Linked DNA regions of Saccharomyces cerevisiae S288C. The gene in region 1 interacts genetically with each later gene. Each region holds a gene or a part of one and is shown in the gene's direction. Other genes may lie near its edges.

Region 1 (3,909 bases):
TCTCCTTCCTTGCGATTAATGTTACCCGGTATACGAAATCGGAGAGGATCAGAATAAATGCATTGAAAGGAGCATAAATCTATACAGCGGTTTGGCAATGGTGAGAGGAAGAGAACAAAAAATAGAACGCAGATAGTCATGTCCAAATACGCTTGGTATACCAGAGTTACAGATACATTACATCGTCTAACGGTACTGACGTTGGTTGGTGGTACGTTATACATGTCGGGTGGCTTAGCTTACACTTTATACATGAACGGTAAGAAGTACGAACAACAAGTGACCCAACAAAAGGCACTTGAAGAAGACAATCAACAACTGCAAAGTCCTACTGCACCTCCTACCGAGTAAACTGCGAGAACCCAGTGCTAATAAAATGAAGAAAAAGTACTAGATTACATTTTTAAGTGTTGCACTATATTCTAAGGGCCTCCATCGACGTAGTGTGCTGGTTCCACCTTCTCCTCATTATCATGCCAATATTTACGAACCTGTATATAATAATTAAATCATAAGAAACAACAAAAATAAATAACATTGCTGCCGGATTCCCGTAGGCAAAACTAACATATATATCGCTGCATGCCTTCCTATTCCTTATCAGGGGAAAGACTGCCACTGAGGTTTGAGGCCAAAGGCTGAAACACTTTTCTTCTAAAATGTCGTCTATTCGCCATCTAGTTTTTTATCTGACTATTTCTCGCTGTTTACTTTTTCTTACTGCCATTATGTAGGCCTTTTGAGTCAGCTTTGTGAAGAGATCTTATTACCTTAATTCTTGCTGAAAAATACATCGCAATGAAGTCACTTTCGTGATGGAAAGAACACGGCGGTAAGAATACGTTCCTTTTTGTGCTGTGTACACCCGTAAAATTGTACATTATTTATTTCAAAATATATAACAGGATCCCTCCAGTGTGTCTGAAATGATGCAACTCTGATACTTCAGAGTCGTACCCTTATTAAATACTAATGCCGAATATAGTCATCCAGTAGCCATAGTTCACACACACATTACTTATTCACCACATAAAGAACTAGAAATGCTTGCTAAATATCGTACCTTGAAGGTAAACATTAAGGCCCCCCAAAAGCATATATACATACTGGCAACACAAAAAAAGTAAATTGCCAACCACCTACCTTACATATGGTTTGCCCATCCTACATTACCAATACTATCAAGACATTTCTTCTGAAACATATTCACAACTGAAACGAGATCATTTTCTTATCTATCTATTGAGTAATGCTTACTTTTCATATTTTCAATGAACAATAGGATATGTAGGAGAATTGATATATTCACTGCGTATCAGAGAAAAGGTCTACTGACATTTTATGGCAAATGTATTCTACACAAATCGAGAATACCACAGACAATGGTACAAGACATACACAAAGAGAAGACTGTTCTAATTAAACAAATAATATTGAGCTACCTGCTAAGTATGTCCTTTTCCCTTTGTCCTTTGGTTTCTCTTATAGAAGACCCTGGAAATTTTTCGCATTTTTCCGGCTTTGGGCGTTAGTAAGAACAAAAAGAAAAGAAGAGAACAAAAAAGAAACGATACGGAGTACGTGTCATAAAAACTTGTTCAATCATCCTTGAAGCTAAGTATAAAGAGCTTGAAAAGGTTTACCACTTAAACTGGTTATACTATTTCAAGAGTGTAAACATTTTATTGCATATACCACAGTAACGTGCAGGTAAAACATGAGATTAAGAACCGCCATTGCCACACTGTGCCTCACGGCTTTTACATCTGCAACTTCAAACAATAGCTACATCGCCACCGACCAAACACAAAATGCCTTTAATGACACTCACTTTTGTAAGGTCGACAGGAATGATCACGTTAGTCCCAGTTGTAACGTAACATTCAATGAATTAAATGCCATAAATGAAAACATTAGAGATGATCTTTCGGCGTTATTAAAATCTGATTTCTTCAAATACTTTCGGCTGGATTTATACAAGCAATGTTCATTTTGGGACGCCAACGATGGTCTGTGCTTAAACCGCGCTTGCTCTGTTGATGTCGTAGAGGACTGGGATACACTGCCTGAGTACTGGCAGCCTGAGATCTTGGGTAGTTTCAATAATGATACAATGAAGGAAGCGGATGATAGCGATGACGAATGTAAGTTCTTAGATCAACTATGTCAAACCAGTAAAAAACCTGTAGATATCGAAGACACCATCAACTACTGTGATGTAAATGACTTTAACGGTAAAAACGCCGTTCTGATTGATTTAACAGCAAATCCGGAACGATTTACAGGTTATGGTGGTAAGCAAGCTGGTCAAATTTGGTCTACTATCTACCAAGACAACTGTTTTACAATTGGCGAAACTGGTGAATCATTGGCCAAAGATGCATTTTATAGACTTGTATCCGGTTTCCATGCCTCTATCGGTACTCACTTATCAAAGGAATATTTGAACACGAAAACTGGTAAATGGGAGCCCAATCTGGATTTGTTTATGGCAAGAATCGGGAACTTTCCTGATAGAGTGACAAACATGTATTTCAATTATGCTGTTGTAGCTAAGGCTCTCTGGAAAATTCAACCATATTTACCAGAATTTTCATTCTGTGATCTAGTCAATAAAGAAATCAAAAACAAAATGGATAACGTTATTTCCCAGCTGGACACAAAAATTTTTAACGAAGACTTAGTTTTTGCCAACGACCTAAGTTTGACTTTGAAGGACGAATTCAGATCTCGCTTCAAGAATGTCACGAAGATTATGGATTGTGTGCAATGTGATAGATGTAGATTGTGGGGCAAAATTCAAACTACCGGTTACGCAACTGCCTTGAAAATTTTGTTTGAAATCAACGACGCTGATGAATTCACCAAACAACATATTGTTGGTAAGTTAACCAAATATGAGTTGATTGCACTATTACAGACTTTCGGTAGATTATCTGAATCTATTGAATCTGTTAACATGTTCGAAAAAATGTACGGGAAAAGGTTAAACGGTTCTGAAAACAGGTTAAGCTCATTCTTCCAAAATAACTTCTTCAACATTTTGAAGGAGGCAGGCAAATCGATTCGTTACACCATAGAGAACATCAATTCCACTAAAGAAGGAAAGAAAAAGACTAACAATTCTCAATCACATGTATTTGATGATTTAAAAATGCCCAAAGCAGAAATAGTTCCAAGGCCCTCTAACGGTACAGTAAATAAATGGAAGAAAGCTTGGAATACTGAAGTTAACAACGTTTTAGAAGCATTCAGATTTATTTATAGAAGCTATTTGGATTTACCCAGGAACATCTGGGAATTATCTTTGATGAAGGTATACAAATTTTGGAATAAATTCATCGGTGTTGCTGATTACGTTAGTGAGGAGACACGAGAGCCTATTTCCTATAAGCTAGATATACAATAAGAGCAACACAGTTTATCTTATATGTATTCAATGTATAGATTTCAAAATATAGAGTTTAAATATCATTCAAAATATTCAATAAATTTTTCCTTTGAAAATTTAGGCCACTAAAAAATTATAAGAGCCAAAACGAAGTAGATACAATAATAAAAATAATATAGTCATATCTTAAACTTTTTGTGTAAAATCACTCCTCATTGTTAACCTTGGTAATAAGTTTACCTTTATTAACACCGCTAAATAGACCCTTCCATATCAATGGAACATTCTTGAACTTATCACCGGTACCATCTTCAAGGGTAGCGGATTTCAAGAGGTCAATCTTACCATGCTTAACCAGAGAACCCAATTTATCTAATGCCTTTGGAAAATCATCAATATTATCTGTCACTAGTACTCCTTTAACGACCAATCGTTTAGTCAGAATAAAGCTATACCCCTTAAAGACAAATTTAGATGGATCATTATAGGCACTTATAGCACCACAGGCTATCAACATA
Region 2 (2,756 bases), on another chromosome or scaffold:
TTTACAAAAAGAAGAAGAAAGAAACTGGGATCCAGTGAAATTTGTTGCTGGTAAACTTCGAGGTGTAATTTCACCCATCCAAGCCTATGTGACGATTGGAAAAAAATTTTCCCCTAACTCATTGGTATACACTAGTAGATTCTTTCAACTTCATTACTTCCCTGAAGACCATTTTATGTCTTGTTTTAGAAAAAGTAAACCAGCAATAACGGTAAAATCCAATAAGAAGTTTTATTTAAATGGGAAGGTTTTCAACAAGGACAAAGAATATTTCAATGAAACTAGGATATCAAAAGCTAATGAAGTCGAACTAAGCAAAATTCAAACAGCGATGACACGGCTTACAAATAGACATAGAAACAGTATTCCCTCTGAATTTGCGTACTTGAGACGAGATTTAAAATTAAAGGTGAAAACAACGTTTATCAAGGAGTGGTGTAAACTAAATGGTGATAAGGCCATTCGAGAGTACGTTAATCTTAACAGATCTCCAAATATTAATCCTGCTAGCATGAAGGGCAAGCCAAAGAAAAGTTTTTTAGATAACCTTGGTAGAAGTACTGTGGGAACCGCAAAGGACGGCTATTATTTATACATTGTTAGCATATTTCCTGATAAAGATATGTTAGGAGAATTTAATGACGAGGTCAATAGAAGCGTTCAAAAGGTTGCCAATTTGGATTGGGATGGGTTCTTGACCCCAAAAAAAGGCACGAAAGGCAAAAATTGGGTAGAATCGTTCAATGACAGTATAAACGTTCAAACAATTAACAAGATACTCGAGATCAACAAGTTTCCATTTGAATTAAGAAGAGAACAAACAGAAGGCTGAGAAATGGGCCAACCATGCATCTCTCTTGCTGTCCACTATGTATCTACATATACGTTTTAAATATTTATCATCGAATGTGCAAATACAAGAACGTCACTTTCGAGTCTAAGTGGTTGTCACTCATGTTTCGTGATAAAAGAAATATTTACAACCCGGGATTTTGAACCGTTGCATGGTCATACTCGAGGAGTATTAGAATCAAGCCATTATGATCTGCTATATATCTTAATGGTAAGATCACAATATAAATGGATAGCAATAACTTTTGAGTATGAGGAGTTCCACTTTCATAAATGTTATAGATATGGAAAGCTTACGCTGATGTAAGTAATGAGTAATCACAAAACGAGGTAAGAAAGGCCAAGCGAAAATAAAGTCATATATTTTAGGCAAAAAAAAAAAGTCTCAAGTAATTCTCTATAAGGCAATAAAAAAATAGTTCTCATTCAGTCTTTTTTCTTTCTTTTTGAATACGATGGCTCGATTAAGGTTCTTCATTTCAAAAAATATCTTGCTTATTAATATTGAGTATGAATGAAAGATTCATATCAAAAGTAAGCGCAAGTGGTTTAGTGGTAAAATCCAACGTTGCCATCGTTGGGCCCCCGGTTCGATTCCGGGCTTGCGCATTTCTTTTTTATATTTCTTCTCTTACGTTGTAGGAGTATATTTTTTTTAAATAGTCCACTGGAACAATATCATTTCTGTTGTAACTATACCAGATCTGGGTTACAGAGGCCAGAACACATATAACGTTACACAATGATTCATGCAGTTCTAATATGTATGTAAGATTTCTCAAGGGTCTTTTCTTCTGCCAAAATTATACATTACTAACATAATTCATCATTTTTGGTATAGTCAATAAGAAATGCCAACCAAGATTAGTGAAATTCTACACGCCGGTCGACCTTCCAAAGCAAAAACTGCTATTAGAGCAAGTATATGAATTGATTTCTCAAAGGAATAGCGATTTTCAAAGTTCTTTTTTAGTCACGCCACCATCGCTTCTGTTAAGCAATGAAAATAATAATGATGAGGTAAACAATGAAGATATTCAAATCATCTATAAAAACTACGCTACACTATATTTCACTTTCATCGTGGATGATCAAGAATCAGAACTGGCCATATTAGATCTGATCCAAACTTTTGTGGAATCATTGGACCGTTGTTTTACTGAAGTCAATGAACTTGATTTGATTTTTAACTGGCAAACTTTGGAAAGTGTATTAGAAGAAATCGTGCAGGGGGGCATGGTCATTGAAACAAATGTGAACAGAATAGTTGCTTCTGTTGACGAACTCAACAAAGCTGCCGAGTCCACAGATAGTAAAATTGGAAGACTAACGTCCACTGGATTTGGAAGCGCACTACAAGCGTTTGCTCAAGGCGGATTTGCACAATGGGCAACGGGGCAATAAACAAACAAATTAATCGGATGATGGTTATTTTCGTTCGTCAAGATCTGCACGTAAAACCGGCTTGAAGAAAATTAGCTGAGCCGGGCATTTCCCAGCTTTTTTAATATATAATACAAAATTAGGCACCCTCCCTTTAAAATTCTGTTTAAAACTAGATCTGGTCATAAAACATAGATAATATTGTACGTACAATATGGTCACACCGTTAGGAAAAGTAAGATCTCGCTGTGTCTAGAGAATGAGTTTTCTTTCTTTTTGACAGGAAAAAAATAAGTTCTGATAATGTAAAAGTTATAGAAACAATGTAAAATAGGATACATTTCTATATTAATATGTACCTATAATATATGCAGATTGGTATATGTAATTCAAGGAGTATGCATAGAAATAGCAATCCAGCGAGAATAATTTAAAAGGAGTCAATTCATCCTATGCAGACAGGCATTTTTGATCCTTGAAATGCAGTCTTTCAGTTGCTCTTTAGAAATGGCAAAATCCAC
Region 3 (3,301 bases), on another chromosome or scaffold:
TATCTGCCTTTCGACTGATATAAAACACTCAGGCAGCCCGTATTCAGAAATAACTGGAAATACAGCTTGCATAAGTCTAATTGGCTTAGCAGCTCGTCATCTGAATACACACCAGGTAGCTCCATTATGTCCGATAAATATTTTGTCAAATTCTTCACAATACGTTCCATTTCTTTATATTTGGTTAACTTCGATGGTAATGAAGTATTTAATTTCAGCCATTGATTCCATAAATGAGTAAACAAATCTCTTTCACGAGATATAGAGGTCAAAAGAATATTATATTTAATGTAGGCTAAAATTATCTGATTGTTTTCAGAACTATTTTCAACCATCTCGTCTATGTCATCTTGATCGTCGTGGTTTGCGATGAAAAATTCATGACGGTCTAAAGCTTTCTCCAATTTTGATAGCCTCTGTGTATATTGAGTAATCTGAGTTGGGTGGATAGATAGACCTTGTTCCAAAAATTGAGCAACTTCAGCATCGATTATCTTGGCGTTGAAAGATCTCCAGTTTATGTTAGTGGTAACCTTTTGATCTTCAGTTGAGGTTGTAATTTTTTTCATATTGAATCCATTGTCTAATAACAATTTCACAAGCTCATCGTCCTTGTTCTCATCAGATTGAACTCTTTCCACGATAAAGTTATTTATTTCGGGCGTTGTAATTAAATTTCCCGCGTACTGCTTGAGAGAGTACTGGTATTTATTAACAATGTTATCTACAACTTCTTCAGCTAATAAGCTTAGATTCTTCAAGTGTTCCAATGCGGCGAAAACGAGGGCTAGGTTGTTCGAAATTTTGGCATTGTCCTTCCTCTTGAACCTTTTTCCATTAATTAGGTACTCTGAATGTACCAATTTAGCGAACGCTAAATATTGGGCACGAGTTATCCATTGCTGTTCATTTTGAGTGACGTTAACCAATTTATCAGCAGTCTTGCAGGCCTTCTTCAATCTTGTGGATAAAACCTTTTCTTCACTTTTCTTTAACTTTCCTCTTTGACGAGCTCTCAATTTCAAAGTTTCAGCCAGTGCCAAGTCCCTTTCAGCGTGTAGTAAAATCAAAACACCAATCAATTTAGTTTTATTATCATAATCCTCGGAGTTAATTTCGCCATACTTATTTTTACTTGAGTATTTCTTTGTATCCTTGGTGACCAAATGGCAACGGCTCCTCAAGTGTTGCAACTTTTTATTCAATTTCGCATGATACTTAGCGAAGTCTGAGTCTGTTTCTAAAAACTGTTCTGCACGATTACCATAGGTGGCAATGATTGGAGAATAGGCAACCATCTTTAGTTTCAAGCGTGGCTAGTTTTTGATTCAATATGGAAAAAAAGAAAATTACACTGTAATATAATACAATTGATCACTTTGATGCTCAAATAATTCAAATAACCTAGTCTCCAGCTGCTCGTTTATGCTAATATTGTTGGATTAACTCTAGCAAATATACTCCAAAAAAAATTTTCAGAACTTATCACGAACAACGATGTGGTAAAGACAACGAAATACTACGTAAATCATATTGGTCTGCTCGTTTATAAAAGCTTACTCCCAATCAAATCACTGCAATGGAATATGTCGTTTGGTTCGTTGTTGTAGTTTGTGGAATGCCAGAATCATCAGCTGTTTCTCTTCCAAAGCTTCCCTGAGATCGCTTCTAAAGGTTGTTTTGTAGATCCCATCGAACATGAAAAAATGACAGCAATGTAATTAGAACCAGAATTACAACGTAACAAGAAGAAGTAAACAAGGCAGTATTCGTATATTTGTATGGCGGGAAGTACATCCAGTTTGGTGATCTGTGCGATTGGTATATATGCTACTTTTTTGACGTGGGCATTAGTACAGGAGCCTTTGGCTACAAGAACCTGGCCAAACTCCATGGGAAAGTTTCAATTCCCTAATGTAATATCCCTCATACAAGCTTCTGTGGCAATGATGATGGGCTACCTGTACTTAAACTGGAAGAAGGTGGAATATCCGCCCAGAAAAATGATTAAAGATCATTGGAAACAATTGATGTTGATATCATTTACACAGAGTAGTTCAGGCCCGCTGGCTACAACTTCTTTAAAGCACGTGGATTATCTCACTTACATGTTAGCAAAGTCATGCAAGATGATCCCCGTGTTGTTGGTGCATTTGCTTTTGTATAGGACGCCCATAGCAAGCCAAAAAAAAGTTGTAGCTCTCTTGGTAAGTCTCGGTGTCACTATTTTCACTATAGGTGGCAACGATGGTAAAAAGTTGAAGAGATCCTTTAATGAGAGCGGAAATGATAACAAATTACAAGGGTTTGGACTACTTTTCTCTAGTTTATTCCTTGATGGATTGACCAACGCCACCCAAGATAAGCTACTAAAGGCCAATAAGGCCAAAGAAAAGGGAAAACAAACTTTGATAACAGGTGCACACTTGATGTTTACACTGAACCTCTTCGTGATATTGTGGAATATTTTGTATTTTATTGTGATCGACTGCAAACAATGGGATAATGCCGTTTCTGTATTGACGATGGACCCACAAGTGTGGGGCTATTTAATGCTTTATTCGTTCTGTGGCGCTATGGGACAATGCTTTATTTTCTATACTCTAGAACAATTTGGCTCTTTAGTTTTGATCATGATAACAGTCACCAGGAAAATGGTCTCGATGATTTTGAGTATTATTGTCTTCGGTAAGAGTGTACGTTTCCAGCAATGGGTGGGGATGTTTATAGTATTTGGTGGAATCACTTGGGAAGCACTCAACAAGAAGAAGGCTAATATACCGAAGGCAAAATCTGCGTAGATTAGTGAAGATCGCAACAAATAAAAGTTAATATTTATAAAATTTGTCTATACTATGTACTTCCTATTTTTTTGATGGACGAAGCAGTCTCTCTCTTAATTCAGGATCGTATGCATAAACATACAGACCACGCACGCCACGAGTTAAGAGGACATTAATGCTATTCATAATAATCTTTTGCTTAACGTCCTCTGCATTGTGAATGTTTTTCTTTTTGGTGAAACCGGCCCTATCGTCATACAGCTCTGGTCTTAGTTTGATGCAGTCATTAGCCGCATCATACCCAATGGAACGGCCCAAAATTACACCAGCATAATTCAGATCAAACCCTTGGATAGTATACACACTACCTACCTCATCAATCGTGTCGCAACGCTCACTCCAAGGCGTCACTTCACGTGGAGTATAGCGATCCCAGCGAACTTTGAAATTGTCACCACATTCAACGTAATAGTCTTTTCCGTCCAAGCGATAGGGAAAATCGTAAGTAGATAGCATCC

What was found.
Region 2: mutations in ERO1 (region 1) and APS3 together harm fitness more than expected from each alone (negative genetic interaction), as found in Saccharomyces cerevisiae (2 studies listed by BioGRID).
Region 3: mutations in ERO1 (region 1) and HUT1 together harm fitness more than expected from each alone (negative genetic interaction), as found in Saccharomyces cerevisiae (2 studies listed by BioGRID).

What each region holds. Positions count from the first base shown.
Region 1 is NC_001145.3:10,983-14,891, reverse strand, and holds ERO1 (ER oxidoreductin), read left to right. Parts: upstream 1-1,717; coding exon 1,718-3,409; downstream 3,410-3,909. Other genes in the region: COX14 (Cox14p), read left to right, coding at 139-351; YML131W (uncharacterized protein), read right to left, coding at 3,597-3,909. UniProt on the Saccharomyces cerevisiae protein: Essential oxidoreductase that oxidizes proteins in the endoplasmic reticulum to produce disulfide bonds. Acts by oxidizing directly PDI1 isomerase through a direct disulfide exchange.
Region 2 is NC_001142.9:395,431-398,186, reverse strand, and holds APS3 (Aps3p), read left to right. Parts: upstream 1-1,594; coding exon 1,595-1,616; intron 1,617-1,693; coding exon 1,694-2,256; downstream 2,257-2,756. Other genes in the region: PET130 (Pet130p), read left to right, coding at 1-832; RRN7 (Rrn7p), read right to left, coding at 2,676-2,756. UniProt on the Saccharomyces cerevisiae protein: Part of the AP-3 complex, an adaptor-related complex which is not clathrin-associated. The complex is associated with the Golgi region as well as more peripheral structures.
Region 3 is NC_001148.4:86,514-89,814, reverse strand, and holds HUT1 (UDP-galactose transporter HUT1), read left to right. Parts: upstream 1-1,781; coding exon 1,782-2,801; downstream 2,802-3,301. Other genes in the region: signal recognition particle subunit SRP68, read right to left, coding at 1-1,298; YPL245W (uncharacterized protein), read right to left, coding at 2,865-3,301. UniProt on the Saccharomyces cerevisiae protein: May be involved in specific transport of UDP-Gal from the cytosol to the Golgi lumen. Involved in the maintenance of optimal conditions for the folding of secretory pathway proteins in the endoplasmic reticulum.